Linked DNA regions of Drosophila melanogaster. The protein of the gene in region 3 interacts with the protein of the main gene of each other region in a biochemical or structural test. Each region holds a gene or a part of one and is shown on either strand. Other genes may lie near its edges.

What was found.
Region 1: of the proteins of Uba2 (region 3) and lwr, one has a biochemical effect on the other in vitro, tested with the Drosophila melanogaster proteins (one study listed by BioGRID).
Region 2: of the proteins of Uba2 (region 3) and Sumo, one has a biochemical effect on the other in vitro, tested with the Drosophila melanogaster proteins (one study listed by BioGRID).

The regions. Positions count from the first base shown.
Region 1 is NT_033779.5:533,567-544,086, reverse strand, and holds lwr (lesswright), read left to right. Parts: upstream 1-1,506; 5' UTR 1,507-1,657; intron 1,658-1,707; exon of another isoform or gene 1,708-1,736; 5' UTR 1,737-1,839; coding exon 1,840-2,319; 3' UTR 2,320-2,378; exon of another isoform or gene 2,379-2,850; intron 2,851-2,918; 3' UTR 2,919-3,488; downstream 3,489-10,520. Other genes in the region: Spp (signal peptide peptidase), read left to right, coding at 1-671, 738-846; ush (u-shaped), read right to left, coding at 4,131-4,569, 4,635-4,777, 4,838-6,224, 6,338-6,538, 6,656-7,050, 7,121-8,064.
Region 2 is NT_033779.5:6,959,748-6,969,403, reverse strand, and holds Sumo (small ubiquitin like modifier), read left to right. Parts: upstream 1-1,759; 5' UTR 1,760-1,896; intron 1,897-2,018; 5' UTR 2,019-2,103; coding exon 2,104-2,376; 3' UTR 2,377-2,624; downstream 2,625-9,656. Other genes in the region: Coprox (coproporphyrinogen oxidase), read right to left, coding at 3,713-4,885; sip2 (septin interacting protein 2), read left to right, coding at 5,587-5,660, 5,850-7,509, 7,574-7,813; Hmgcl (3-Hydroxymethyl-3-methylglutaryl-CoA lyase), read right to left, coding at 7,931-8,857, 8,917-8,961; Atac1 (Ada2a-containing complex component 1), read left to right, coding at 9,151-9,656.
Region 3 is NT_037436.4:8,122,379-8,133,864, reverse strand, and holds Uba2 (Ubiquitin-like activating enzyme 2), read left to right. Parts: upstream 1-6,046; 5' UTR 6,047-6,160; coding exon 6,161-6,304; intron 6,305-6,358; coding exon 6,359-6,513; intron 6,514-6,566; coding exon 6,567-6,854; intron 6,855-6,910; coding exon 6,911-8,426; 3' UTR 8,427-8,538; downstream 8,539-11,486. Other genes in the region: Setx (senataxin), read left to right, coding at 1-15, 73-174, 247-1,868, 1,931-2,068; Cds (CDP-diacylglycerol synthase), read right to left, coding at 3,032-3,244, 3,309-3,440, 3,525-4,013, 4,075-4,251, 4,317-4,413, 4,657-4,781, 5,496-5,606; mRpL36 (mitochondrial ribosomal protein L36), read left to right, coding at 8,827-9,213; CG7550 (uncharacterized protein), read left to right, coding at 9,406-10,128; ldbr (lariat debranching enzyme), read right to left, coding at 10,287-11,486.

The DNA.
Region 1 (10,520 bases), on a different chromosome or scaffold from region 3:
AGTCCGGTGATCAACTCGCTGATGCCCGCCGCCGTGCCGAAGGTGCCCTTCCACATCCTGTTCACTAAGGGGGAGGGCAAGCACAAGGAAGACATCGTTAACTACAAGTTCTCCACGCACGACATTGTCTGCCTGGTGATCTCCTCGGCGATCGGAGTGTGGTACCTGCTCAAGAAGCACTGGATCGCCAACAATCTGTTCGGTCTGGCCTTCGCCATCAACGGCGTGGAGATGCTGCACCTGAACAACTTCGTCACGGGCGTCATCTTGCTGAGCGGCCTGTTCTTCTACGACATCTTCTGGGTATTCGGCACCAACGTGATGGTCACCGTGGCCAAGAGCTTCGAGGCGCCCATCAAGCTAGTGTTCCCCCAGGACCTGATCGAGAACGGCCTGAACGCCTCGAACTTCGCAATGCTGGGACTAGGCGACATCGTTATTCCGGGCATCTTCATCGCTCTGCTGCTGCGCTTCGACGACAGCAAGAAGCGCAAGACGCGCATCTACTTCTACTCCACGCTGATTGCCTACTTCCTTGGCCTGCTGGCCACCATCTTCGTGATGCATGTGTTCAAGCATGCGCAGCCGGCTCTGCTCTACCTGGTGCCAGCCTGCATGGGCACGCCCCTCCTGGTGGCCCTCATCCGCGGCGAGCTGAAGGTGCTCTTTGCGTAAGTGTGGACTGCGCTGGGCGCTCGACTTGAAACTAAACTAACTCATTCTCGCCCCCACTGCAGCTATGAAGATCATCCCGAGGAGAAGCCCGAAAAGAAGGAGAAGAAGGAGAAGGACGAGGGCGTCAGCTCGTCCGGCAGCAAAAAGAAGGAGTCGAAAAAGGGCAAGTAGAGCCGGGAGGACGCAACATCCGAACAACATCCCCACTCGTTCCATCGTAAATGTCTTCTGCAGCTAGCCAAGCTCCCTTTCGTTTCGATATGGCTTCTCCATCTACCGCAGTCCATAGCTCATATGGACTAACACCGCTACAAAAGACGATTCACTTACTGAGTTAGTTATGTACGTTCCTTGGCCAGGCACAACAATCTTATTTAGTTCGGTTAGGTTACAATTGTAGAAAATGTTCCCTCGACTTTTTTACCGCAATCAATTTAAATATGTATTTCAAATATTTCTGTGGCTCCGCACAGGAGGCTTATATGTTTAAGAACAGTTTAGATACAAATATATTCCAATTTTTGTAAACAGTGCAATTTTGACTACGAATTCTACATTGCATTTCTTAAAACTAATGCAGTAATTTGTGTAAACAGTAATGCGAATAAATTTTAATTCTAACGTTTAATTAAACTAGTTTTGTATTGAGTAGAGGGTTTTTAGGAATGTAACGGCTTAAGAGAAAAACCTAATACATTTTAAGTTGAGCTTACCAAAATCCAAAGAATTTTTAAATTTAAAACATAATACAAAAGTGCTTTGAAAAAGTCAGTATTTTAATACCACTGTTTATCCACGGCCACACTAAATATCGATAACCGCATAGTGAGACCCTTTGTGTAGAAAAACTTATACCTTTAGCGAGCACAAGCGTTCATTCCTGAAAAATTGCGGTAAAAATTGCGAAAAGCGCGAGTTCCCCCCGCGATTGCAAATAATTAATTTGCTTGGAACCACTGGAGACGCAAGGACGAACAGAGAGGTAGGTGCTCTTGCACTTAGCGCGCCAAAAGGCGACAAAGCCCCTCGTAGGCCACTTACCCACACACACACATTCGCAGACAGACGCGCGTGCAAAAAAGGCCAAGTGGGACTGCTAGCGGAAATCCAGGACTCGAGGACACGTTCGGGCGGCAGTAGAGAAGCGAGCAAGCAGCGACGACCATGTCCGGCATTGCTATTACACGATTGGGGGAGGAGCGCAAGGCCTGGCGCAAGGATCACCCATTCGGGTTCGTCGCACGACCCGCCAAGAACCCTGACGGCACCCTCAACCTGATGATCTGGGAGTGCGCCATTCCCGGCAAGAAGTCCACCCCCTGGGAGGGCGGGCTCTACAAGCTGCGCATGATCTTCAAGGACGACTACCCCACCTCGCCGCCCAAGTGCAAGTTCGAACCGCCGCTGTTCCACCCGAACGTCTATCCCTCGGGCACTGTTTGCCTGTCGCTGCTGGACGAGGAGAAGGACTGGCGCCCCGCCATCACCATCAAGCAAATCCTGCTGGGCATCCAGGACCTGCTCAACGAGCCGAACATCAAGGACCCAGCCCAGGCGGAGGCCTACACCATCTACTGCCAGAACCGACTGGAGTACGAGAAGCGCGTGCGTGCCCAGGCCCGCGCCATGGCGGCCACTGAGTAGTCGGGCTCCTGCCAACCACCTTTACCACATAGACATTAACAAATACACACATCTAGCCGGTAAGCGTTTGTTTGGAATGCTCTCCACGTCTACTTACTTTTAAAGAATCGACTAATTTTGGATAGCCCCCGCGGCCCGAAGCATCTAATTTTTTAATGTTCTGCACTTGCTTAATTACCAGCATGTACCATCTGAATAAATACAAATAAGTCCTGTAATTTTTCGATGAGGCCCAAAGTGGCCACGTGGCACCCAGAATTCGACGCTCTTTTCAGCTTCCATTCTGGGTGCAGGTGCCGATTATTCTACGGGCTATTTTGTATCGCGAGTACTACGTACAAACCTATGTAATTTCAATAAAAATTTATTAGTTGTAAAAGCTTATGCATTTTAAAGCGGAAAGGATTTCCCAGCAAATGTGCAGTCGAGCACTTGTTGGTCGTCAGTAGCCGTACAGCTGGATTTAGTGCTTGAATTATTCCATATAAAGTTCTTCCTTTTGCTTATTATTTAAGTAACATGACTATTTTTAAATTTAAGCATTTTATTTAAAAACTTGTTCAGTCCATTTTTACCTTTATATTTTATTTGATTTTTAGGCATTTGAAGCTGGTCACATTTCCCAACTATTTCAGCTGATCTGGCAAGTCCGCCAACATTACTATGCATAATTTTTGGCTGATCTGGTAGCATTCGCTGCTGATATAGCAATGCTTCCAGCTAACGGTTCATTTCCAACGAGGCCGCCATATTGAAAAATGCCCAGTTAAAACACCTACTGAGATTTGTGTTCGCCTGGTACTTCAGTCTGGGGAATCCGGCATACTGACAGCTGAATTTATTATTTTTCCCGAGGATGCTCATATATTTCGAACTGAATTACCAGGGAAGCATAAGCGTGGAAAGGTGTTTTTAAAACAACCGCCAGGATTCCCAAAGTCTTGGTTTTGGTGGGCATGCTCTATTCTGAGTACCAGGCGAACAGAACTTCTAGTAGGCTACCAACGATCAGCTGATCTATCTGATGCCTGGTCTAATCTAACGGTTCTTTTATTAGGGATGCCACAATATTTTTCTATTGATCCGGTAATATGTCCGATGTTTGACAATATTTTAATCAATCTGGCAACTATGTCGTCATAACATTTTTCGCTAATCTGGCAGCACTCAAATCGTTCGTTGAATTCAAAAATGTAAAATGTCGTTTAGTTACTAATTTCACTATATTTTATATTGAATAAATTAATTACTTTTATTGTCGCACACACTTAATAAATAATGTACTCATTTAAATTACACAGTTAGAATTGCTCGCTTTATGGGGAACAGCGAGTAATTTACATTATAGTATTGGATCTACATTGGAATACTTCGCCTCCTTCTACTCCGCAGACCATTGCAAACTTGTAGTTTCTCGCCCTCAATTTAATTTCTGTCTAAGTGGTAAGCTTTGGCATGCATTATATGTCATGGTTCCCACTTAATGGGTATGCGCCTAAATTAATGTACCTAAGTATCTATGTGTTATTCCTTTAGGTGTACTGTATATGTACGGGAGTACGATGTATATATCTACTTCTATCGATCGGTAAGTCGAAGGAGTCAGTCCCCAAATGGAGTTGGAAGTGGAGGGCAGCGACGGGAGATTTTCCGGGAATACTGTCGTCGATGGTTGGTTGCGGTTTGGATAGTGTACATTTTTAAAGGAGGCTAGGATTCGATTAGTTTCGATTGGGTTGGGCTGCTGCTTAGAAGCACGTGTAATACCACTCAAGCTGCTTGCGCTGCGCCTCCCACCGCAGCTGGCTTTCTCAAATGGCCGCCTCCTGCAGGTTTTCCTTGTTCTTCTGCTGGCCGTGTCCGCCGACCAGGCCGCCAATGCCCAGGCCCACGGCAACGCCTCCGCCCAGGTGATTCGGACTGGGGCTGTCGCTGGCCTCGGGGCGAATGGGCTTGTTTTTGCAGTAGAACTGCTTGTGAGCCAGGTAGGTCTTCACGTAATTGAAGGATATGTCACAGGTTGAGCAGTACTTCTTCATCACCTCGGCGGCGGCAGCTGCTGCGGCAGCCACGCTGCTGCTGTTTCCCAGCGGAGAAGTCATCGGCGGAACCAGCCCGCCGGGCGCAGCATCCGCTCCGACTTCGATTGGCTCAGCCTTAATATGTGGCGTGGCGATCGGGGAGTTGTTGTTCTCGTGCACCAGATTCACAGTCGGTGGTGGATCCAGAGGCTCCGATTTAATGTGGAAACTGTGGACGAGGAAGTTAGAGAAGATATAGTAATAAGAATGTAGATAATTTCCTGTCATCCTTACCTGGGTGCTTCACCGTTGGATACATCGGAATTCGAGTGTTGGTTGGTAGTGGGGTTGGAAGTCACATCTTGATCTCTGGTGTCGGGGGAAATGGAGGGAGAGTTGATGGCCACATGGGGATGCATCAGCTTCATGTGGCGCAGCTGTAAGGAAAAAGCTATAGTGAGTTCTTTGGTCTGGCAGCAATAAAAAGGAGTACGCACCACATTGCCCTTGTAGGTGGAGACATAGTTGCAGTAATCACAGTTGAACATCTGCGAGGGATGATCCATGGAATCGTGTCCAGTTGTGGTAGATGCCCCTGTTGGAGTAACCAGTTCCTGACTCAGCGCGCTAGCATCCTCTTCAAAGATGCAGGTCATGTATAGCTCCTCGTTTACGTCGCTAGTCTTCTTGTCGAAATGGGTTCGAATGTGGGTGCGCATGCCGCGAAGAGTGTTCCCCTTGTACTGGCAGATGCTGCAGCGGTATGCCTTTACTGTTCCGTGCATCTCCATGTGTTTCTTGGCCAGTGCTGCTGTGGGACTCACTACCCCGCAAACAGGACACTTGTTCAGACTATTGGTGGCGGGTTGCGGATTGACTGTCGGCGCTGCGAGAGGATTCGCAACGGGTGGTGGACAAGGCAGACCAATTTCATGCAATGTCTTGCACTTTCCGCACTTCTCCTTTGGCATGCCCAGTTGGCCAGGATCCGTGGGCGTCGCGGCAGGGGCAGCAACTGCTCCTCCCTTGGGGCAATAGTAGTTCTGATGGGCTCGCAGGTTGTCCAGGGAAGTGTACTTAATTCCGCAGGCGGCGCAGATCAACTGTTGATATGCCACCGGTGTGGTTTCCACCGACGAAGCAGCCTCTGCAGCTCCGGCTCCCAGTCCTCCTGCTCCAGCGATGGATGGTGAAACGGCCGACTTGACATCCACTTCACTCGCACCTTCTTGGCTTCTTGCCGAGCAATAATGCTGTTTGTGTGCCAAGTAGTTCTCATACTTGCAAAACACAATATTGCACTCCATGCACTTGGACACGCCCTTTTTCACATAGATCTGAGGCTGCTGGGCGCCACCTGCCGATCCTCCACTACCCGGATTCCCACTACTAGTTTGGGCAGGAAGAGAAGCGGGCGGGAAGGCTGCTGCTCCACTACTGCCCGCCACAGCAGCTGCGGCCGCTGCCGCCGCCAGTTTCAGAGCCAGTTCCGGGTTGGTTTTGGCCAACAGCGACTCGGAGAGTCCAAAGTCCGCAGGTAGCATGGAGCGCATGTCGAGCAGATGGGGAACAGCCACATTGAGACCAGGTGGTGACATGGAGGAGGCGCTACCAGCCCCGGAACTGCGTGGACTGATGGCTCGTCTTTTGGGCGAGGGACTCATCGAAGGACTGCTCGGCAGGGAGGGAGCGCAAACGATTTGCTCGGGAGTCACACTTCCACCTCCTCTCGGAGTCTCAACGTTCTCCTTGCCGGTTCCTACGCCGGCAAGGAGTACTTCTTCCACATCTAAGAGAGCATTCCGCAGTTGGCGCTGACGCAAGCTCAGTGAATTCAGGGTGATTGGCGATCGACGCAGCGAGAGATCGAGAGGCGCAGATTCTCTGAAGGTAGTAAAAAAGAGTATGCGTTATTCAGTGGTTTTCATCATCAGGGGAGTCTAGCCATAGTAATAACTTTTATCTGATGCGTGAATCACAAATATTTAGGAACTAACCTAGTTAACCCTGCCTCTTTTCGCTTGGGCTCCGGAGGACTACTCTTGGCTTCTGTGGCCTCAGCAGCAGATGATGGAGCTGAAGGGCGTTCGGGTTCTAAGGTGGCGCCAACTAGGGCAGTGGCCAGTGGTTTAATCGTTCCGTTGTCCACGGTAAAACAGGTGGTTTCAGGATTCACGATTCCCGAGTTCGGCGTGGGCCTGCACATAAAAATGTAATAGTTCAGTCAAATACCTAATTATTTTATATACATTGTTTCAAAGCCATCCTCAAACGCAACTGGATGCAATTTAGGGATTTTTCTCCTGGGAACTTACAGTGGGCCTGGAATAAAGCTAGCTGCACGGATCAGCGAGCAGGGCACAATTATGATCGGGTGGGTGGGCAGTGCCAGGAAAGGTGGATGCGAATGCGGCGTGGCCTGGAGGGAGGCAGCGGCAGCCGCTGCTGCAGCTGCGACGGCGACCATTGCGGGAGTCGGAGTCTTGTTCCTTGCCTGCGGACTCAGCTTGCCGGGCGTAGCCGCCTGGGCTGATACTCCTATGGATCCGCCTGCGGAACCCGGTCCGGAACCTGCTCCCGGAGAGGCGTCTGGCTTGGGCGTGAGCTGTCCCTCTGGTCGCCGCGAACTGCAGTAGTGTTGTTTGTGCGCTCGATAGGTCTTGATGTTGTTGAACCGGATATCACAGTGGCTGCAGTAGCGATCGGTTTGCTGTGGAGGGGATTTGTTTATCATTAGCTTGCGACTCCAGGGGCAACTGGCACCTCAACACTTTACTCACTTGACTAGAGCTATCCTCCATCGGATTGGGCGTAACTCCCGGCGGCGCTATTCCGTTCTGGAGAAGACTTGGCAAGCCGGCCAGTGTGGGAGCTGCTGGCGAAGTCTGGTGCATGCGCATGTGGCGATTTAGGGATACCTTCTTATCCGCGCTGTAGGAGCACTGGGTGCAGCCATATTGCTTTCCTGTCCTGGCCATTTTGGCTGGTGGCTCGGTGGAGCCTCCGGTCAACCCTGCTGCATCGCCAGCTGTGGCTCCCGATCCTCCTGCCCCTGACTTATCACTGCCAGCCTCGTCCGTGTCCTTAATTCTATGAGAGCAATAGTAGGCTTGATGGGCCTCCAGAGTTGAGGGCGAACTGAATGCAATCCCACAGGGCAGGCACATAAATCTGGCTGGTTTTAGCAGAGGTTCTGCTACCTCCGGTTGCGCTTGCGTGTCCGGCTTGACGAGCGGCGGAGGAGCCAGGAGACGAGAGTCCGGCAGGGTCAGCTCCTTGGCATCTGGCTTAAGGGCAGGATCTGAGGCCAGGAGCGCATTCAGACGCACTTTGGGGTACTTGGGCGTGGGACATGGTGAGGGTGAGGGGCACGGAGAGGCTTCTGGCTCCGAGGGCGGCGTAGCGGGCTGTTCCAGCTTGGGAATCAGCTGGGGAGAGCTGGGACTCCTGGGCGGAGTGCTTGGGCTGTTTGCAGGCAGTTCCTGCTGAAGATCCTCCTGCTGAAGATCGTGTTCCTGTTCCATCTCTGTCTCTCCCAAATCCTGATCCTGTTGGGGATTGGCCTTTTCTGGCTCCTCGAACTCAGCATCTTCATCAGCGTCGTCATCGATATTGTTATTGTTGTTTTGGGGGTCTCTGGAATCGTTCAACTGATCCTCCAACTGGTCCTCCATTTGCTGCTGCTTCTGCTCGCCTATATCCTGAGCACTCAGATCTTTGGAATCTGCAAAGAATTAGAACAAATATATCAATATTAGTTATTATCCATAAGTAGAATAAAGAACGACTTAAACTAAATGTGTACAAATGGATTTTATACACAATTTTTATCTCAAGCAAGAATGAGAATTTGCTTCGGGGTCAGACAGTTACATGGCAGTTTAGTGCCTCAAATTGGCTTCGCGGAATCCGCAACAGCGGCATCCTATCTCTTGCATCCGCTGCCCATGAGGAATCTATGTGTCAGACAGCTGGTTTGGCAATTATTATCGAACAAATTGTCAGTGGTCAGAGCTGTGAAAACAATGCGACAGCAGTCGGTTGCATAGGCTGCATAGGCTGCATAGGAGGAGCAGCAGGGGCAGTTTATCCACTGTGGCCATCTCTTACGTGGAAAACGCTGGTGGAAATGGAAGGAGATGGGCAGGGGAAAAGAAAAGCCCATGGTGGTCACTGATGATTAGGCCCCGCGGATCGCTGCAAAAGTTCGAAGTTGGCCAGAATCCCGAACTGACATCTGATTTGTTTCTGTTTTGGCCACGGCGAAATATTATAACGACCAACGGCGATGCTGGCCGAGATTATGGCGGCGGACAGTGGAAGTGGACGTGGACATGGCACACACATGGCATGCAGATGGAGTCGCCGGATAAGCGTCGCAGTTTGCAGTTTGCATCTCGCTTCGCCAGAAATTCGACATCTCGACCGGAGCGAACATTTACCCTGCTCGTGCGGGCTCCAGCTCCCAAATGTCCCCCTTCTGGAGTCCTCCCTCGTCCATGGATTTCCTTTGAGGATGGGAGACTGGAGAGGATGCGCGTTGACCTGTCAATTGATGGCTATTGAAATGTCAGCACATCCAGAGCGACTCCGACAAGTAGAGAAAACAAGAGAGACTTATACACAGAAAATCGTTTAGTAGTTAGTTTTAAAGTCATTCATTTCCCGAATAAGCCCATGAGAGAAACATTTGATATATTCGTATTATTAGACGAAACAGCAATGTTTTGAAAGCAATCCCAAATTTCTCGCTGTGCAGACCAAGTTTGTTGCCTGAGTCTTTTGACTGCTGCTGTTTGTGATGCCGCTGCCGCTGCCGCTGCCACTGCCACTGCAACAAATGTTGCAACTGTTGCCAAACTATTGACGGCCCGCCCTAATTGCCGCCGTCGATTTTTCACGAATTCACACAATTCTGCACGTGAGCAATCGGTTAGAAGAATCGCTTCACCCTGCCCCTCCAAAAATAAAGGGCTCTGCTGGCATTCCGAGGCATTCTGCTTATTTGTAAGATATTTATTGCCTTCGATTGGGTGGCGATAAGCCGCACACGTAAAGTGTTTTGTCCGGGCTGAAGAGGCCTCCGCGAGGAGAAGGGCAGGGAGATGGCCGAGCGCCGATAGAGTGCGAACGGGAGACTAACAGCTAACAATGGCTTTTGGCTGGGTCTCGGCTGTAGCTCTGACTTGGGTGCCCAGCTCTTGGCTCGGAGTCCCTAGCTCTGCCCCCAGCGACAGCTGCCTCTGCCGCCGAGGATTAGACCGGGCCGGGATCTCTCAGCGCGGCGGTTCACCAGTTGGTGGAGCAGATCTCCACCAGCGATTGTTTCGCGAGTGCCATCCCAACACCCTTTCCTCTTTTCCATTGTTGTGCGGATTCGGTTCTGAGCACCAAAACCTATTGCAAACCTTCAGATTAGGCGGTTTCAAATGGAGAAATACACATAGTTATTTCGATTTCTCAAACCAAACGAATCTATTTGAAATGTGTATGGCTTTTTATATTATTTCAACAATATTATATTAAAAATACTATTTTAGTATGAAAGACCTTTCACAGTTGTATGCCCAAGTGTACGGAATTTCAAGGCTACGCATTCGCATTCGCATACGAAATCGATTTGGGATCTGGGAACAAGCCGTCTTCGCTGAAATTGCGATCGGGCGATCGTTTGTTTAGCCATTTCGTAACGTTACGCCGCCCCACACACCTTTTGTGTGGATGGCGAGGGGGGATTCCCCGGGCATCTCCGCGCATCTCCCCTCCCTGCGGCCAACGCCAACAATTGTTTATCAATTTGTTAAATCAGCTCGCCGCCGTCTTCAGCGTCAGGTCTCTCTACTCTTCTCTTCTCTTCTTCTTGCTGGAGCTGCGATCGATCCTCGCCGATAAGCGACACAACAAAAACATACAGGGAGGAGAGGTGAGGGAAGGTGGTGCATGTGGGCCGGGGATACCTGGCACTTTATCAGCCGCCAGATGATTGTTGCTGGTTTCTCACTTGGCAACTTCACTCGGTGGGCGTTGTTGGCAGCCATAAACAATCGAACAATTTGGCCCAGGTCCCGATCTCGGCCAGGAAAAGAGATGGAGGGGAGCCAAATGAAGGAGCAGATCCCCAGGATCGACCCTTTGTTCATTTGTCGCTGGCTTTCAACCCGCGGACCGCCGTCGCTGCTA
Region 2 (9,656 bases), on a different chromosome or scaffold from region 3:
CTAGAATCAAGACAGCTACCGCAATACTTTTCCAATCTCCTCCGCTCTAGGTTGCCTGTGTTGTGTGGTGGTGTGGCGTGTAAGTTGATTCCGGGCTAAGAAATTTTGTAAACCAAAACCTTTTCCGTAAGTTTGCCCCGGTAAGATTACGATATCCTCGCCTAACCGCCGTGGATCGGATGGATGAGTGAGTTAGTGTAAGGGAGCTTTCCTCTGTTTGGTACACATTGCGAACTGCTCCGATGGCCTGTGGCAATCTACTCCATTCATCCATTATGTCTGTAACCAATTTACCATTTCGATCTTTTCATGTACGTTGAGCTGATTGTTATCGTACTGAAGACGAATCCGCGGCGGAAACTCGCATAGAACAAACAGAAAACTGCGCAAAGGTTTGCTTTTGGTAACTGGTAACGATTGGTTGTGGTTGGTCAGGTCAGGGGTCTTTCGAGCTGGTTAGCCTCCACTTTGGATTGCGGACGGTGACAAAATTCTGGGGGTCTTTTATTTTTGTATTGTATTGTTTGGCAGACAGGATCCATGCAATTGCCTTTTCGTACCGTGCGACATACGGGAAACAAACTATTGTGTAGCAGGGCATTTTTCCTATTACACCATTATTAAGAAAAGCGGACAGAGATCAATGTCACATTTAGATTTGATCAAATAAAGAAAAGAATTCCTCCTTACACGAAAAAGTACTTGTTTCATTTCTAAGTATTTATCAAGATGACTTGAATTTTTTACAATTTTCGCTTGTTAAACTGGTCTATATGTCCTGGATAAGAAGATTTGCAGTGGCGTCCTTGGAATCTCTTTAAAAATGTATACATTTGTTGCAAATAAAGCATTGTGAAATCTATGGACATTAAATGCGACCTCTATTGGAAAACATTCACATATGTCGCAAATTATTATAAGCGGATATGATAGAAAATGTTAAAGTAAAAGGGACTAATTTCAAGGATGAAACATTGAATATCAATAGCAAGCATTTTTCATTCCAACCCGATAAGTACCTATGTACCCAGTTATATTACGAGTAATGGGTATCAGCTGATCGCTACCTTTGCTTCTAAAATGGCATACTGCGTATATCAATAGGCGACATATCGATATAATTGACTGCTATCTCAGCAACATAAAGAAACTGGAATATTCTAACTGTATTTTGCATGCGAATATAAACTTTAGCCGTAATCTTGTCGAATGCTACAAAAAACTACCCAGTAACTTATTATTCTGCCTTTCTTTAATTCGATTCCCTTTGCCATTGAGTACCCGATAGTTAAATATTTGTATGCTGCCCTGCGTACACTGGCCTACAAGCAACTCGAAAAATTCAATTATGTTCGCCGATAGTTAAATAATTTGATGTGGCCCTGCTCACATTGGCTAACAAGTAATGTGAATTAATTATGGGTATAGATATTGCTTGAATTGCAATTCTCATATCACTTTTTTTTTAATTTTCCGTAATATTCATCTTTACGAACCATCCCAATACTTATGCTTCTATTTAAATATTAACATTCATATTTATATTAAACATATATATTGACTCTCTAATATGCTTTAAATGCTATTTAAATCGATTGCGTGCTTAGCATTACATTTTTTAGTCCAATTGTTTGAATATTTTTTCTTTTCGGCATATATCAAAATTACTTGTTAGGAAAAACGTGACCGAAAACCGAAACAGTGACAATAATGGATGGTTGCTGGCGAATCTATCGACTACCTATCGTGTATCGATACACACCGATAGTATCGCAAAAGTTAACGAGGTAGGTCCAGCACCAGTTTTTTTGGCGTGTAGCTGTAGCAGAAGCAAAAGGAAGCCGCTTGTGATAAATTTCAACTTCCATCAGCAAGCACTGAATTTGAGGAAATCAGGTAAATTTTTGCATTTCTACGCGATTAGTTGCTGCCCCGCGGTATTGTGCTTAGTTTTTACGTGTGGTTTACCAATTTCCGCGTACTTAATTGGACATTTTGCCTCGTTTTTTTTCGTACAGCACGCCCGGCATTCGACGCTCCGCAAAAGAAAAAAAAAACTTTTTTGACCACTTAGCAGCTTCAACAAGCAACCAAAAAATCAACATGTCTGACGAAAAGAAGGGAGGTGAGACCGAGCACATCAACCTGAAGGTCCTCGGCCAGGACAACGCCGTCGTCCAGTTCAAGATCAAGAAGCACACACCCTTGAGGAAGCTGATGAACGCCTACTGCGACCGTGCCGGACTCTCCATGCAGGTGGTGCGCTTCCGTTTCGACGGACAGCCCATCAACGAGAACGACACTCCGACCTCGCTGGAGATGGAGGAGGGCGACACCATCGAGGTTTACCAGCAGCAGACTGGTGGCGCTCCATAAGATTACTTAGTTAAGTTAGTTACTCCTCTTACAACTACACACTTAAAACGAAAAAGAAAAAAATACAAGAAAAACCACAAAAGCAAAAACACAACAACAACAACATGAAGAATCCAACAAACCAGGCCCTAAGAATCGATTGAATATGCTTTTAGTACAACTGTAGATTCTAAATGCGTCTGTGTGCGTAAATAACAAAAACATTTGCAGACAAGAAAATGGTAAATAAAGCATTTTATAAACTACACAAAATTTGCCGTCTTTCGCTATTTATTCCTGCGCCTGATCGGCGTTTGTTTTTGCCCTTCTGCAACGAAAAGCCGGTGCGAATTTCCCGCTTTGTGACCCTCTTTCTAAACAGCACGCACACACACTGTCATTGGCATGGCACGTCTGTGTGCGAGCAGGACTGGGTCCAGTGCGCGTGTGTGCGTGCAAATTGATATACATACACATCGGAGAACACTGAATTTGCGGGAAAAGTACAAGCATACATATACGCCTGCGAATTTGCGAAGTCTGGGAAAACATAACCTCAAATTTGAACAAGAAAAAAAAATGACGTCAGTTTTGAGAACCTTCTGGAAATTACATAGAGGTAACTATAACCTCAAAATTGGGATCTAGTAATACGCTTGTGTGTTTGTGAAAGCCAAGCCATACATGATGATTGTGTATGTATACCATGTATACATACATACCATTCATGATGTATGTGCGTATGTGCTTAAATTTTCAAAGGTACAGTTGTGTAAAAAAAAACTATGATGAAAAATTAAAAAGTAGATATGTACGTATGCATACATGAAGTCATGTCGACAGGTCCTGTTATATTAGACCGGCTGTATATGTATATGTATATGTGTTCATTTTTAATATTGGTATTGGGTAAAAATTTCCGAAATTTTTCTTATAGATTTTTTGCTGTCTCACCATGACTCAGCACCATACATATATACTTTATATTGTAAAACATTTATTTTCCAGGCCCTTTAATTATGTATTGAGAAGCAAAGTAATGAGTCAAAGTCGAAGTCTATTGAGTTTGTTCATACTTTGTTGCATTTCATAGATGAATTTCATAACTCGTAATAAAATTAAAATTCATTAACATTATGTATTTAATTTTACTTGTTGAGTCCAATTTATAGTATTATTTGCCAATGTATACTGTATGTTGAATGGAATAAACTAGTTTTTCAAATATGGATAAATAGTTAGGAAACAATAACATTTTGTCATGTTTATTTGCAACAACAATTACAATATGTACACATTAAGTTTTAAATATAATGCAAAAGGCACCGGTTCCCTCTTAAGAACAATTAAAAATAGCTTAGACCCAATCCTTGGGGTTCTTCAGGACCTTCATCAGTTTGCCCTCCTCGGACTGGGACTTGGGCTCGTGCATGTACTCCCAGCGGGCGTGCAGGGGCAGGGACATCAGGATGCTCTCGTACCGGGCTCCAGGCGTGTATAGACCGAACTTGGTGCCACGATCGTAGATCAAATTGAACTCCACGTAGCGCCCGCGGCGCAGCAATTGCCACTGTCGTTCGTTGTTGCCATACTCCCGATTTTTGTGCTTTCGTACCAGCGGCACGTAGGAGGGAATCACGGCCCTGGCGCAGCTTGACACAAAGTTGAAGGCCGCCTCCTGGTTGGGCGAATCGATGTCGTCGAAAAAGATTCCGCCAATGCCGCGGCTCTCGTTGCGATGCTTGATGCGGAAGTAGTCGTCGCACCACTTCTTAAAGCGCGGGTAGTAGGTGGGATCGTGCTCATCGCAGGCGGACTTCAGCGTCTGGTGGAAGTGGGAGGCGTCCTTCTCGCAGAGGTAATAGGGCGTCAGATCCGTGCCGCCACCAAACCACCACTGCTTCTCCCCCTTGGCAGTTTCCACTTCAAAATAACGATAGTTGAAGTGAATGGTGGGGACATGGGGATTCCTCGGATGGATCACGGCACTCACACCGCTGGCAAAGAACGGCAACGAGGCGCCCTCCTTCAGATTCTTGCCGCGAGCCCGCATCTGTTGTACTGCAGCCGGGGGCAACGAACCGGTGACCACGGATATATTGACGCCTGCCTTCTCGAACACATCGCCATCCTGCAGGACGCAAGTGATGCCGCCTCCGCCCTCAGGCCGCTCCCACCGGTCCACCTTGAACTTCTGGCCACAGTTCTCCTCCGCCTCCAGGGCGCGGCAAAACTCCGCCTGGATCTCCATGATCAGGATCTCCATGCGATGACGCATGTTCTCCTTGTCCCCCAGCAGTGCCTTGGAGTCGGTGATGGGCTCGGCCATGAACCGCGAGGTGTTCATCTGCACCCCGTTGACCTTTGGGTCGACAGCCTCCGCGGAATGTGCGTACGTGACCGCCGAAAAGCTGGCCAGGCCCAATCCCGTGCCGAGGAGAAAGCCTCTGGCGTGCGGCCCCCTGGTCCGGCGCACCAGTTGAAAGGTGCCCAGCGATACCAGGGATATCGTGTGACGGAGTGCGTTCATTATGTGCTCTCGCCTACTTCAAATTTTTAACTTAACTTAAGTACTTTCGCCGAACGCAGTTTGTTTGTTATCTTTCACTGACCCGGCATTTCTAGTTGCATAGTCGCCGGTGTGACCGTGATATCACCAAAATATACCGAAAATAGGGGGCTCGCGATTTTGTTCTATTTACAGAGATACAAGAAGTTGTAACGTTCTTATAAAAATATTATATATTGTTAAGAACACTAGCTAGCTCAATATGTCTGTATATATACACAAAATAATAATAATAAATAATATATGTTAAAAGTTACGGAGCAGTACAATTGCTTTTAATGGTAGACATATTTGTCTTAATTTTATATTATTATTTGTTATAAGTGATATAACTCCGATGATGTATATGTGTAGTGTCCATTGGAATACCCCATTCAAAAATATAAGCGCAATACGGGCACTCTGTCGTGGCATTTGAAATAAACGACTGCAAAGGCGCGTCGATCGTTGGCAAATGAGCGTGCTGTGAAGAAATCCATGAAATATTTGCGTGTGCGCCTTGAAGATTAAGGAAGATCTGCGTGAATACTATTGCCAGAAGGTAGGTGATCGACTGGAGCGAACTCTAAATCCTCTGAACTATAGTCAACGCGCAATTATACGTGTTTATCCCGTCGACTGGAGTTTTGCACCCAGGACACACGCACACTCGCACACTCACGATGTCTGGCCTCAAGAAATTCCAAAACACTGAGGAATGGCGTCAGAAACTCCGTCAGTTTCTAATGACCGAGCGGTAAATACACATTGAAACCCATCCTTGGATAGTGTTGCACTAGTGTTCGATGAATTTGTAGTCATTTACTTTCAAACAAGCCACCTGCATGTCAAAATTGTTAGAGAAACAGTACGCATAAATAGTTTGGACAGTTTAGACACACATACAATTTAGTTGAGAAAACTAATAACAGTTTTCCTTTTTCAGCTTGCCGAAAAAGCCCGTGAAAATGGACGAAACGAAGGATATGCGCTATAGTTTGGAGATCGACGAGGATTTGAGGAGACCCTTGGAGGCGCGGGCCAAGAAAGTTCTGGCCGTTAATTCTGCCAGTCAAAGGACTGTTAATCTCGGCGAGGATACTATGTACGAGGCAGGTGACTTGGAGCACTTGGACGATGGCGATGATAGCTTCAGTGCCTTTGAGCGCATGTGCGACAAAACCGGTTCCGATCCGGATAGCACTCTTTTCCAGTACCTGCACAGCGAGGACCGGAGTCAGGTGATGGCCAGGGCTAGGGATCATAGCACCGACGATCAGAAAGAGATCGATGCACTGCGTCGCATGCTAGAGGCAGTGGGTACAGAAGACGATCTATTGGAGAACGAAAGTCCCGTCAAGGGGGCGGAGTGCACTCACCTGGAGGACATTGAGGCGCCGTCGCGCTTTTGGGACAACACCCTGGCCGGAATGGACGAGACCTCATCCGACTCTGGGCTGACTCCTAAAGCATTGACCAAGGTTTCGCCTGTCAAAATGGTGGGGCTGCTTCGCCCCTCAACCATCATCGAAGACAGCGAACTGGAGTCGTCTGATGTGTCTTCACACACAAGCTTCCAAAGCGCTCGCACCCTAAAGACAAATGCATCTAGTTCTTACGAAACAGCCACGGATACTTCCCTCAGTGGAACGCTCCTAAACGTCGACGAATTGTTTTACGCCGCAATTGCCAAGGCCAAGCCACCAGGAATGTCCAAGGGAGAGGAGCTGGAGCTCTTAAGCGATCTTCATGGCAGTCTTAGAGAGCTGGCCTCACTTCCGAAGGATGAGGTCGAGGAGGAAGAGGACGATATAGAGGATACAATAATCGAGCTATCCTCTTCTGACGATGAAGAAGTGCAGCTAGTTCCAGAAGTAAAACAAGAAGACACGTCCCGTGTGTCCTCAGTCCACGGAAAAGATCACACTGAGCAGAAACCAGCGGAGAAGAGCGTTGAAAATAAGGAAAATTCGTTGCATTTCAATGATACCATGGAAGAAATGGAGTACATGATGCAAAAGGGTATGGAGTACATGGCAGGTGGGGCTCCTTCAGTCGCCGCAGTCAAGGCAGATTGCCCTGTGCTGCCCAAGACCAAACAAAGCACGTTCGTTGTTTCACCGAAGCCGGAACCAAAATCACCGGCTGTAGCCTTTTTGCAGCCATCAATTCCGCTGCGGTCATCTAATCAGCCACAAACAGTTGTAGGTTCATCTAGCACGGGTAGAAAGCCGCTCAATGTCGGCCTCACCATGGAGTGGACCAAAAAGAAATTTTTCAGTGCAGCCTCTGGTATTCCTCAGCGTCGCCAAAATCAGATAAAGCAGCCATACGCCAACATAGTCAGTCCCATACGCACCTACACCCAGAAGTCTGGTACTGCTCCGCTAATGAGTACATTCCGTCCAACGAGTTCTGATATGCTATCTACACTGGCCATCAGTGAGTTGGAGCAGGAGTCTCGCTTGTGTCATCCTAAAGCACTTTTCGCAACAAAGGACGAAACACCCAAGTCCAGTGAAGCGGAATCTTTAATTATCAATGGAATCGATTCAGCCGCTGATCTGCTTCCCAAAAAGGCTTACATATCTTCCGAAATCAAGCATGTAAGTTTAAATTTATATATAAGCCATGATGAGTGAACGTAAACTAATACCTTCCATTGAACAGGTGGTTGATGAACGAACTCCTTTGCCCATGCCGAAGGTACCTCAAATTCAAAAATACCTCAACTCCGCCGTGGAGCCTACTGTTATGCGCCACGATGGCAAAATGAAAATGCCCGGCGAGGCAGTCCGCAATCCGTCGTCTTCGCATATCCCACGACGCGCCAATCACAGCCTGGCTGATCTGTCGCTCGCCTCAGGCGACGTGTCCTTATACACAATAAGAGATGCCCAAAAGTTTTAAGGCCCATAAAAGTACTTCACGCTCCTTGACTAAATATTGCAACGATAATAAATGTATTGTGTAACTAGTGCTAGTAAATGCCTTCGTTTTCGTTTGATAGTATCAATGCTTGCATCATCACTTAACTCGCGCCTGCGGTCCCTTCCACGCTCGATTAACCTTGGACTCTGAGGTTCTGCCCAGTTCGGTGCAGATGTACCGCCCCACTTGGATCAGTTTGTCTAGGTTGACGCCAGTATCGAGGCCCATGCCGTGCAGTAAGTAGACCACATCCTCGGTGGCTGCGTTGCCTGACGCCCCCTTGGCGTAAGGACATCCGCCCAAGCCAGAAACGGAAGAGTCCACCACCCGAATGCCATAGTCCAGTGAGACCAGTATGTTGCTCAGAGCCTGACCATAAGTGTCGTGGCAGTGCACGGCCAGATCTTTAGCCGGGACGACCTTGGTCACCTCATCCAGCATTCGGCGCATTGTGCCTGGAGTGCCCACACCAATGGTGTCGCCCAATGAGATCTCATAGCAGCCCATTTGGTACAGGGCTTCCACCACTTTGACGACAGCACTCGGCGCAACAGCACCCTCGTACGGGCAGCCAACCACGGTGGAAACGTAGCCCCGGACGCGCACACCATGCTTTTGGGCTGCTTTCAGCACAGGTTTAAATCGTTCGATGGCCTCAGCTGCCGTGCAATTAACGTTCTTCAGCGAAAACGCATCAGATGCGGCTCCAAAGACTGCCACCTCCTCGGCTCCCGCCTCCAGAGCACTCTCGAATCCCTTCAGATTAGGCGTGAGGACTGGATAGCTTATACCAGTCACTTTGCGGATTCCTTTCAGCACTTCGGCATTGTCGCCCATCTGTGGCACCCATTTGGCGCTCACAAAGCTGGTGGCTTCTATGGTTCGCAGTCCTGTTTCGGACAATTGGTTGATCAGCTCGATCTTGGTGGCTGCCGGCAGGAGTTTGGGCTCGTTTTGAAGACCATCCCGCGGTCCAACCTCCACAATTCGCACCTGATTGGCCGCGCTTGTAACCGCCGTGCGCTGTTAGTTTTAAAATTATTAAAATATTGTCAAGTGCGTTCGATTTTCCGTGAAATTACCTTTGCTGTAAGTGCAAGGATAGAGCGAATTGGTGCACTTATCATTGCTAAATTTGTAAATAAACGTTACGTATTCCGCTTCTTCTTTTTTCGCTGATAACAGCTGATAATGATCCAAGATCGATATGTTGCTAAATTTCGATAACTGTTTTGCTTAATGAGCTGCCATCTCTAGCGCAGAGGCGTAAACACATTTTTTGTATACAAACGGGTATTTGGTGCTAATTCTTTGTAATGGAAATAGCAGAGATATCTGCAGAAGATGAGGATGTGTTTCACTTTGAGACCGAGCACCTGGCCCTGCGTGGCAACCAGTGCTATACCAATTTGCTGCGCACTTTGGCCGTGCTGCAGGCACAAAGGATTCGGGTGCATCAGCAGATTGAGGAATTGGAAGCCACACAAAATATCTACTTGGAGAATCCGCAACATATGCTGGACAAACTGCGAAACAACGAGCCTTTGATAGCGGATAATTACATCACCACGACCGTTCTACCGGACTTGCCAACTCTGTCGCCCAATGACGAGGAAGGGGGCACAAATGAGACACCGACCGATGCGTCTTCATGGACGCAAGAGGCGAACAAGAATCGGGACAGGAGCAATGGACGGTCGGAGAATTTCAATCGCTTGTGGACCAACGAAGAGCAGAGTCGCTTGGAGCAGCTGCTCATCCAGTATCCGCCAGAGGAAGTGGAAATGCGCAGATTCGGGAAGATAGCGAAGGCCTTGGGCAA
Region 3 (11,486 bases):
GTTTGGTTACCAGAGGTAAGCATATTCAATACTTTTTACTACCAATTACTAATTTTCGGACGTTTTTTGCAGTCAATAGCAAACCATTCGGAAAATTCGTCCTTTATACCCTTTACTGTTGTGGCATGCTAAAAGAGACCTTTGCCAATCTGTTGGAGCTTAAGTTTGTCTCAGGTAAGTCATCAGCATATGTTAAGATAATTGTAAACATTCATCAATTAAATGCCTTGCTGACCTTTTTTTTAGGCAACGTATTCGACTTAACATTTGAGATCCTGAAACAAGATATATCCGAGGAGAAGCTCAAAAACATTAAGCAGTTGACTGCACGGCCAGTAGTGGACAGCTTAAGGGTGGAGCTTGGCGCTTTGAGTGCCGTCCATCAGCTCCGTAGCTCTCCGCTCTGCCGGCGGATCTTGAAGCCTACGCAAACAGTCAATGAGGTTTCACTCCCTAAACAGCCGTTTACGTTCAAGGGGTGCCACAAGTTAAATGAACATCAGGAGAACATTGTCCTGCATACCTATCAACGTATAATTGACGACTTACAACCGAGTCTCACTCTGATCCAGGGTCCCCCCGGGACCGGAAAGTCAAGAGTTATTTCGGAACTATGTCTGCAGACTTTGTACGGAAATGCTGCCAAAACGCTGGACCGCAAAATCTTGATATGTGCTCATTCCAATACAGCTGTAGATCATATTGTTGGGCTGCTAGGCTCAGTTTTGCGTGTGATGAACCGCGACCAATTCCACCTACTACGTTTTGGAATGCACGAGAAGATGAGCCACTACTCTCGTCCATTTTCGCTGGAGGCGCATTTCAACAAAGCCAAGGAGCAGAAGTTGCAGCGCGTTAGTAAAGAGAACGCTGAAATCCTAAAAAAGCAGCATAATGATCTTAAAGATGAGATTCAACAGCTGAAGGAGAAAACGAATCTCACGTCAACGTATCTCTTGCAACAGTTGCAACAGAAGGAAAAAAAACTGCAGCTGATAAGTAACCAACTGAGTCCGCCGCTGACGCAGCGCGAGGAGTTTGAAATCTCTCACATGTGCGTGACCAGGGCGAACATCATCTGCACAACGCTTTCCTCTTGTGTAAAACTGGCAAACTATGTAGATTTCTTTGACATATGCATCGTCGACGAGGCCACACAATGTACCGAGCCCTGGACTTTACTGCCAATGCGATTTGGATTAACGCATATGGTCTTGGTTGGCGACATGCAGCAACTTCCGGCTGTGGTGCTGTCCAAGAAGGCCATAGACTTTGGCCTTTCTAATTCAATGTTTGATCGCATTCAGCGAAGCCTGCAGACACAGCTTGATAAGCCGGGAAGTTATCACTTAATGCATACGAAACTATTTAAGCTGAGCACGCAGTACCGCATGCATCCAGAGATCTGTCGATGGCCAAACCAGTATTTCTACGAGGATCAGTTGATAAACGCCGAGTGTACTGCTCGTTTCGCCTCACCGCTCATTCCATACTGCGTTATTAATTTAAAATACACTTGCGACAGCAATGGCGCCCAAAACAAGAGTATCAGCAATAACGAGGAGGCTCGTTTTGTGGCCAAACTTCTGACAGAAATGGACAAACATATGCCCAGCAAGCGATTTAGCTATGGATTAATTTCGCCGTACCAAAACCAGTGTTACGCGCTAAGCCAGGTTATTCCCAGTCACATGAATATAACTCCTCAGACTGTGGACTCGTATCAAGGATTGGAAAAGGATGTGATAATAATTTCAAATGCCAGGACACGCGGCTGTGGCTTTCTAACGAACTATCAGCGACTTAATGTGGCGCTGACCAGACCGCGTCGTTGTCTAGTCATATGTGGCAATTTTGAAGATCTAAAAGTCAGTATCCAGATTTAATTGAAATAAAACATGTTTTTTATGAACTTTTCTTAATTTTGTAGTCTGTTGAAATGTGGCGCAACCTTCTCGATGATGCTCGCAAGAGGAAAGTTTACTTCAATTTGGACCGCGATGATGTGAACGACCTAGACCGTTCCTTAATCAAAAAGATGATGGTGAATACTATCAACTTAATTTAGGGGACACAACGTTCCCTATTAGTTAATGAGATTAAAACTACCTTTTAGATGCTAAGATATCACAAGTGCCATGGAAGAGAAGCGCTTCCCACATTGTTTAAAAAAAGGCTTTGTTATTTTTATATATATTTAACATAGAGACTGTAAGATTTAATATTGAAATCTTTGTACATTTAGTTCTTTAAAACGCCGACGAATTGCATTTTCGTTCTTAAATGCCGTACAGTATAACAGGATTTATAAGTAACCGATTATATATCATCTATGTACTTTTTGAGAAAGATTCACGGGTTGAGGATGTTGCACTATGCATGGCGTAGTGTATGACCGAATAAAAGTAAATAAATAAATATTGAAATGGTTAAATCAATTATTTAACGTCTGCATATTGCACTATTATATATAGAATTACAGCATTGCAAGAGTTTTCCTGGTATCTTGATCTCATAATTTCGTCCCTCAGGTATTTAACTAAAATGCGCTTTAATTATGCTAATCTCCAGATTCTGGCGTTGTCTGCCTGATCATCTCTAAGCTATAGTTATCGTAATTAAATTCACTAACAACACGCACACACACATAGTCGATATTAAATTCATAGTTATTCTGTTTGCCTTGCCTTGACGCCTTGTCACGAGGGCATTAAAATTAATGGAATCGCTTAACAATACGATTGCACTGTGTAGAGTTCTGCCAAATAAAACAATCGCAATAACTTAATGCAAGATAAAATAAAAACTAACTTAAGAATTTAACTAAAATGTAGCAACAAAATCTAACTAAGGACTAATAACATAACAAAAATTATGCCCGTAATTAACTTATTTTATGTGGCTGCTCAAACTGCCGGCCCGTTTGCTTACAGATATATATCAATGTATATATATAGAAATTTCTGCATTACATATAGAACGTACGACTCAGCAAACGTCTTGTCCGAATCTTACTGGTAACCGATCAAGTTTAGGTTAACATGTCGCCCAAGTTGTCCTTGAGGGACTGATAAATTTGGTATTGTTGATCTGGCTTAAGGTTGTAAATCTGTGTCAGCAGCTTAGCCGGCGACGGAGTTCTGATGAAGCTGGATATATAAACGTTAACGAAGGTCGCCATAAGAAACTGACAATCGAAACGATCCATAATGCCGCCATGTCCGGGTATCATGTCGCCAAAGTCCTGCAAAACAAGATGGTGTGTTGCGTTACATTGAAAAGACCTGTGTTCCGAAAAGATTACTTACCTTAATTTTGAAAGCTCTCTTAAATCCAGAGGCAAAGAAGCCACCAAAGGGTCCAATAATGGAACTAAACAGGCTCAGGGAGATCGAGTGCCAGATAAAGGGGTAAAGATTTAGAGTCTTGCCAATGCCAAACTGGAAATGAAAAAAATTATTACTGTAGCTATCAGCACAACAAATCGGTAACCCATAACTCCATAGAAATACATTATCACTTACCAATTTAAGGCTGTATTCCTGGGGCGTGAACAAATAGCTTGGCACACAGGACATTGTCATGCGTCCCTGTTCCTCCGAGTACTGGATGGGACAGATAAAGTACTGGTAGTTGCACAGCACATACGAGAACAGAATGCCAAAGAGGACGGTGGCGAAGCCACCCCCGATGAAGCCCTCCCAGGTCTTCTTGGGGCTGAGCTTGATGAGGGGAGTGCGCCCAAAGAAGAAACCGAACACGTACGCCATGACATCATTGCACACTATCATCGAAACAGGTACGATGAACCAAATGAGCCCCTCAAATATATTCTGTATGATGAGGTAACTCTGGGTGACGACAATCAGCAGGGATACATGGGTCCAGGCAAACAGGCTGAATTGTTTGATGTAATACTTCTTCACCAGTGAGAGCACGAACCAAACGAACCCGATGATGTACAGGGCGAAGGAAAGGAACCGGTGATAGGTCACCAGGAACTTCAGATATTCCTGTAGATGAAATTGCATATTTACCAGGCGATATAATCAGGTTATTGTATTATTTACTGACCACCCGATTAATTACAACGCCAAAGTAGTCTACCAGATTCTCTCCGTAAAAGAAGTAATTTGAGGTAAGCAGGAAATACCAGGAAAGGCTTCGGAACCAGGGCAAGCCATGAATTCGATAAACCTGGTAGCCAATCGAGATGATCTCCTGGAAGCACTTCACCTGCACCAGTAACGTCTGCAAAGAGAAAGTAGGACAACGATTATTTGAAGACTCGTTTAAGCGAATTCCATTAAACCTACCGTGATCATCAAGGCCAGCGGTCCACCATAGATGATCAATGCGAAGCCGCAGATCATAATCCATGTGAAGATGCCGCGAATCACCCAGTTCTTCCATCTGTGGAATGCGCAAAAAATAATTGTTTGTAATTGTACATATTTACTTTTAATATTTGCTCGCCAACTGTAGACAGCTGTGGATATGGATTATTTTTGGAACGCACTCATACTCATTCTGTCGGATTTATAAAATTCGCACTTCAATAAAATATTTTTTGAATCATCAATTCCAAATCGACCTTTAGCTATTCATCATGATCTTTAAAGATCCCAACTACGCATATGGATTTGTTTCACATACCTATCCGGCAGATCCTTGAGGGCCGAGTCCAATATCTCGGGCGTTTTGTCGGTTCCCTGCGGCAGATTCTTGGCCAGTTCGTCGACGAACTTCTCCTCGGGAATCTTCTCTTCCTCGGAGTCCACCTGGCAGGAGGAGGAGCAAGGGAAAGGGAAAATTCACTTATTGATTGCATTGGCTGGGACTGCAAAGTAGGTTTCCTATCAGATTCGATACGACCGGAGTGCAGGGTTTAAATACTTTCTATTGGACGACGCCGAGCAAAGTCCATGATACGTGTATGTATGTGCCTATATACCCATAATCAGAATCACTCGTTTATCCAATACACAGGCACATAAAATAGAGAGGGGAACCAAGTGGGGAGAAAAATTGCGGGTTTTTTTGGGTGGCGTGTTTTGTTGCCAAATAGCTTGGTTGATAAGGAGGCATTATCACCCAGCAATAACAAAAAAAGTCCAAGCCAGAAAGGGAGTCTGGTCATGGTAATGGTTTCGGCTCTGGGTTCTTGGCCCAGTGCTTCCCTAATTGGCGTAGTCCATCTAATTGGATTTGCTGGTCATAATGGCGCTATATTGCAACACAGCAGGTGGGTGGTTGGGTGGCAGGCAGGCTGGCTGGCTAGTGGTGTGTTTTGTGTTTGTTATTGGATTTTCTCCAGGAGAGAGCTCTCTCTTCTTTCTCCCACCTGCTTGTGCGTCAGAGAATAACAAAAACACATAGCCACACACATTTGTTGGTATACACACATTGGCTTTTCTATGCTCCAAGAATTATGCAAATTGGTGTCCGGAACAGCTGCCGCTCGGCTGCTCCACATACAAGTCATTGCTACTTACATGGTCCGAGGAGTCGGCGGCGGAGTTGCGCTTATTGGCTGCGTCAGATCCGGAGATGGCCGTGTCCTCCAGTGGCTCATCCTCGCCCTTCCTGCGTCGCACTTCGGCCATTATTCGATGTTCGCCAGATCTATTCACAATGTATTGATTCCTATTGATTCCGCTTGAGCAGTTCTCGTCCGTGTTCCGCTCTCCGCGTTTGCCGTTTGCCGTGACCCGTGCTGCGTGATCCGTATGTCGACTTCGTCCGAATTAAAATGCTTTTCTCTATTTCTGATTAGCCCAGCATGCAGTGTGCCCAGCTTGCGCAAAGTGGGCTGGTGGAGCAAAAGTGTTGGCAAGTATGCTCAATTGCTGTTAGGTTTTACAAGTTGACTTTTCGGACAGAAAATGTTTGATGTCTTTTAAAAGAACTTTCTTTTTCTGTGCAATTAACGGTGACTTTTGTCGTAATATGTAAAATAAAATATATTAATAATACTAGAAAAGTTAATTTAAGTGATAATAAGAGTCACCCATATCAGCCATCCCTGGTAGAGAATATCCGTAGCTTTATACGTTTCCCAACACCTGCACCGGCGGCGTCACTTTTCTCGGCTTTTCCGTATCGCAATTTTGCAATTTTCTCGCCAAAAATAAGAAAAAGGAAAACGTAAATTCAGAAAATGGCAGCAGCTATCAATGGTGTTTTCCCACCCACATTGCAGGAGCTGGTAAAGAAGTCCAAGGTGCTGGTCGTGGGCGCCGGCGGAATCGGCTGCGAGGTGCTCAAAAACCTTGTGCTTAGCGGCTTTACAGACATCGAAATTGTAAGTTTTTTCGAAAAAAGTATTCCATATTATTAATTTATAAACGTTACCCAGATCGATCTGGACACAATTGATCTTAGCAACTTGAACCGACAGTTCCTATTCCATCGCGAGCACGTTGGAAAATCTAAGGCACGGGTGGCTAGGGAAAGCGCACTGAGCTTCAATCCGGACGCTAAGATAACCGCTTACCACGACAGTGTAACATCGTAAGTTGGGATAGCTTTGCCTTTACATCTTGCTAACAACACATACCTTTTAGTACTGATTATGGCGTCAACTTCTTTAAGAAGTTCGATTTGGTGCTCAGCGCCTTGGACAACAGGGCCGCCAGGAATCATGTAAATCGCATGTGCCTCAATGCGGATGTCCCGCTGATCGAGAGCGGCACCGCCGGCTACAATGGCCAGGTGGAACTGATCAAGCGTGGACTCACCCAGTGCTACGAGTGCACTCCAAAAGACAAACAGCGAAGCTTCCCGGGCTGCACCATACGCAATACGCCCTCCGAACCGATTCACTGCATTGTCTGGGCCAAGCATCTCTTTAAGTGAGTATACCTAATAATTAGTCTAAATTGCAGCAAATCTATTGATTTATTTGCAGTCAACTGTTTGGTGAGTCCTTGGAAGATGAGGATATTTCTCCTGATGCTGCTGATCCCGATGCAAAAGAAAAAGACGGCGGCGATGGAAATGGCGAGCCCAAAGGCGATGGGAAGGAAAAAGGCGAAGAGTCAAAAGAGGAAAAGGAGGCCAAGGAGGATACTGCCAACGGCAACATAATGCGCATTAATACTCGCCAATGGGCCAAGGACTGCAACTATGATGCGGGCAAGCTGTTCAACAAGTTCTTTAACGAGGACATTACCTATTTGTTGCGTATGTCGAATTTGTGGAAGACCCGCAAGGCACCCGTGCCCGTGCAGTGGGATACCCTGCTGCCCGAAGGATCCTCCGGTGATCAGAAGGATGTGGCCAAGCAGCATCACAAGGTGTGGTCCATCGAGGAGTGCGCTCAGGTCTTTGCCAATTCATTAAAAGAGTTGAGCGCTAACTTCCTGAAACTCGAAGGCGACGATACTCTGGCTTGGGACAAGGACGACCAGCCAGCCATGGATTTCGTGGCGGCCTGCGCCAACGTGCGATCCCACATTTTCGACATTGAGCGAAAGTCAAGGTTCGAGATTAAGTCAATGGCGGGAAACATTATTCCTGCTATTGCCACCACAAATGCGATTACGGCGGGAATTTCCGTGATGCGGGCTTTCAAAGTGCTGGAGGCCAAGTGGGAGCAGTGCAAGGCCGTCTATGCCCGACTTAGACCAAATGCACGAAATCACTTCCTTGTACCGGACGCTTCTCTTCCTGGCCCCAATCCCAATTGCCATGTATGCGCCAGCGATCCGGCCATTACTCTCAAGATCGATACGAAGCGCATGCGTATAAAGGAGCTGCGTGACGAGGTCCTGGTTAAGACGCTCAACATGTTGAATCCGGATGTGACTGTGCAGAGCAATGGCTCCATTTTAATCTCCTCAGAGGAGGGCGAGACCGAATGCAATGACGGCAAGCTCCTAAGCGAATTAAACATTGTGGATGGTGTGATCCTCAAGTGCGACGACTTCTTCCAGAACTACGAGTTGAGTATTATCATTTCCCACTTCGATGCGGAGCGCGATGAAAACTTGTTCGAAGTCGTAGCAGATGCCTCACAGCTGAAGCCAAAGGATGAGGATCAGAAGGAGGCCGTGAAAGACAAGGAGGATGAACCGAAATCGGCTAAGAAGCGTTCTACCAACGGGGAAGGAGACTCAAAGGACGATGGACCCTCCACTTCGAAGCGCAGCCGGCCCAACGAAGTGGTTGAGGAAGATGACGATGACTGTCTGGTAATCGAGGAAGACGAAGACCAAGCAGATGTTGTTGTCGTGGCCACAGACAAGCTCTCTGTGCAGAGTCCCCCAAAATCGGGCTCCAAGCGCAAGCCATGTGAAGTAATCGAGGATGAGGATATCACCGAGATTTTGGAGTCGTCTGACGACGAACCCGCGGGACCAACCAAGTGCAAACGTTCCCGCCTGGACGATTCGAACCCCGTGGCAGTCATCAGTATCGATTAATAAAAAAAAGAAGTTTTTATTCGAATAAGTTCTCAACTGCGCACTAAATTATGCTCTTGATTCCCTGTAATTTCATTCTGATTTAAAATAAAAACACATTTTTGTGGATGATAAAATTTTTAAATTTTTGTGCTTTGAACGGGTTTGGTTTTGCTCTACTCGATTAAATTCAAATAATCCAGTGCGAGAAATGTAATTTTATTAAATAAAAGAAATATAAAATAACATTTAAAATTAGTCAAATTTTTAATTCGATAACTTTTTAACGCCAACCAGTGCTGCGAAGCACTGGAAGTCATTGTGCCTGTTATCGGTTTCTGACCAGTTCAATCCAAAACAGAAAAAGGTGAGCTGTTCTACAAATTTTCATTGTAAATCTCAATGAAAATGCAAATTTCAGATGTCCCTGGCTAGTAGAATACTGCAACAAGGTTCCCGCTTGTGGAATGGTCTCAGTGCCGCGCGTGGTTTCCACCTTCTCACCCGGCCGGCGGCTCCTGCAATTGTATCAATTCAAAGCTCGCAACTTGTGGCCGCCACAACTGGAATCTGTCAGACGTCGGGTCTGCTGACGCCTGGCTCCACTTTGGTCCAGCAGGTGGCGGGATTCAAGGTCAAGGGACGCCTGAAGCGACGCTGCAAGGACTGCTACATCGTGGTGCGCCAGGAGCGCGGTTATGTCATCTGCCCCACGCATCCACGCCACAAGCAGATGTCGATGAAGAAGCGCGACTACAAGTCGTGGATCCTGACGCACGCCACCCAATCCAAGGAGCGCGGCTATTAGACCTAATTAGGCATTAATAAAAGCATTTCTTTAAATATGTTCATAAATAAATAAAAGAAAAATAATCCAAGTAGTCCGTGATACGTTTCCTAACACTGTATCAGCTGATTGTTTGTTTATATCGCAGTCGTTTCTTGCCTGTTTTGCTTTTTACTGTATCCGACCGGAGTTCAGTACACCTGGCCGAAAAAGATGACGACGCACTTCAGCAATGTACTGCGGCAGGCATTCAAAACGTTCGACCGGGCAAATCACGCCAGCTTCAATGCGAATTTGCAGCATCTGCGTCAATTGACGGATGAGCTGACCTACCGGGATCTGCACCTCCGCGAGGAGCTCTTTCGCAACGTGGGAAGCCATCGGGCACCCTGCAGCTACATGCATATATTCGAGGATGATCGCTTCTCCATGAGCCTGTTTATAGTGCGCGGAGCGAGCACTATTCCCTTGCACGATCACCCCATGATGTTCGGTCTGCTGCGCTGCATCTGGGGTCAGCTAATGGTGGACAGCTTTTCGCACCAGTTAGGCCCGGATGAGCCGCTCACCTATGACCCCCATCAAACAGTGGTGAAGGTGAATGTCGAGGAACCCAAATTGGTCACGCCGGCTAGTCCGTGTGCCACATTGACTCCTAGAAAGAGAAATTACCACCAGATTGCCCAAATTGGTAGCGGCGTAGCCGCTTTCTTCGACATTCTTAGTCCGCCATACGATGCGGATATGCCAACATATGGACCGCGACAGTGTCGCTTCTATCGCGCCACGGCAGAGGGCAGCCAGGTGCAGCTGCACTGCATCCCATCACCGGATACATACTATTGCGATGTTGTGGACACGCCCGAATCGGTGATGCAGGCCGCTTTTCAGTGCGCCGACGAGGTCTATGCCGATAATGCCAGCGGGACACAGTGAGTCGTTATCTCGCTTCCCAGCAGCTAACACCCTCCTATTTATTTGCCCATAATCAACCGTTGGCTGATCGTATCAGCCAAGTATCTTCTGTGTTATTTAAATAAAATTGCCTCCTTTTTTTGTATAAATCGCTCCGCTTTCACGGAATTTGTTTGGGTTTAATCTTCTTGCGCTTGGTAAATGTTCTGATTGCGTCGCTTAAGTTTTTTCACATTGGGACTAGCGGGCACTGATGCAGGTTCCTCTACATGAGGCGTTTCCGTTGCTATAATTGCTTCTTCAGCTTCCTCCTCGGGCAGGTCTATCACGTTTTCATCGGTGGTATCAGCTGCTGCAGTTGTAGGTGCTGGCAGGGATAAGTTAAGTTTCCTTTTAGTTGGCGTAACCAATGGTTCAGCCACGTCTTCTTCCACCGCCTGCAGCTTAGAACTTTTTGTTTCCCTATCCTTGCATTCGGTAGCTCCCACCGCAGGCAGATCTAGGCCATTCGCCAACAAAACTAAGCACAGCGGATCGTCTATACCCAGAGTGGCACAGAACGTATTGCTCTGGGGGTTTAGTTGAACCTTGGGTTGATCCACAAACATGTGCTTATAATCAGACTGCTCCGCGGGATCGAAAGCTGGCACTGTGCGCTCAAAGTTCTCGGGGACTTGAAGTTTCTGAAACTTTGCGGTCACTGCTTCTAGTTCTTCTTCAGTGGGGGTAAAGTTTGATCGCTCTGTAAACTCTCCCGCCTTTTTTCCGGGCAGGTAATAATAATTCTCCTTCACTGAAATCAAGTGATTTGTACTGTGCAAGATGGCTAGCCACTCTGCGTCGTATTCCAGGCGGGGAGTGCCTTCGATGGGGTCACTGGGTACCTCTACCACTTGCAGGAAAGCACGACGTGGCAGGCATTTGTCGAGAGCCAGAAACTTGGTCACGGGAACAGATTTGGATGGTGGAGGTACAGGAGCAGCTTTCTTTACCTTCTCCCTTTCCTCGTCTTCATCTTCACTGCTGCTGCTGGAAGAGGAAGATTCAGCATCTCCTAGCTTCTGGCTGTGATTGTGCGGCACCAAAGCGGCAAACTTGCAATGCAAATGGGCAGCAAACCAGTAGGCCGGTTGGACCGCTTTCAGTAACTCCTCCAGTGGCTGGCTACCCAGCTTCCCGCTTTCCATGTCTGCAGCAAAAAATGGTTTCTTGCGGAGCAGTTGCGCCTTGTTTCCGTATTCATAGATGCCGGTGGGCCAGTCGTGGGACAGGAAAATATCAACTCGCCCGGAAATTTGTTTCAGCCGAAAGACTTCTAGCTGCCGCACATGGTAGACACTGCGACACGTGGAATCGGTATACGGAGGGAATTCGTGATG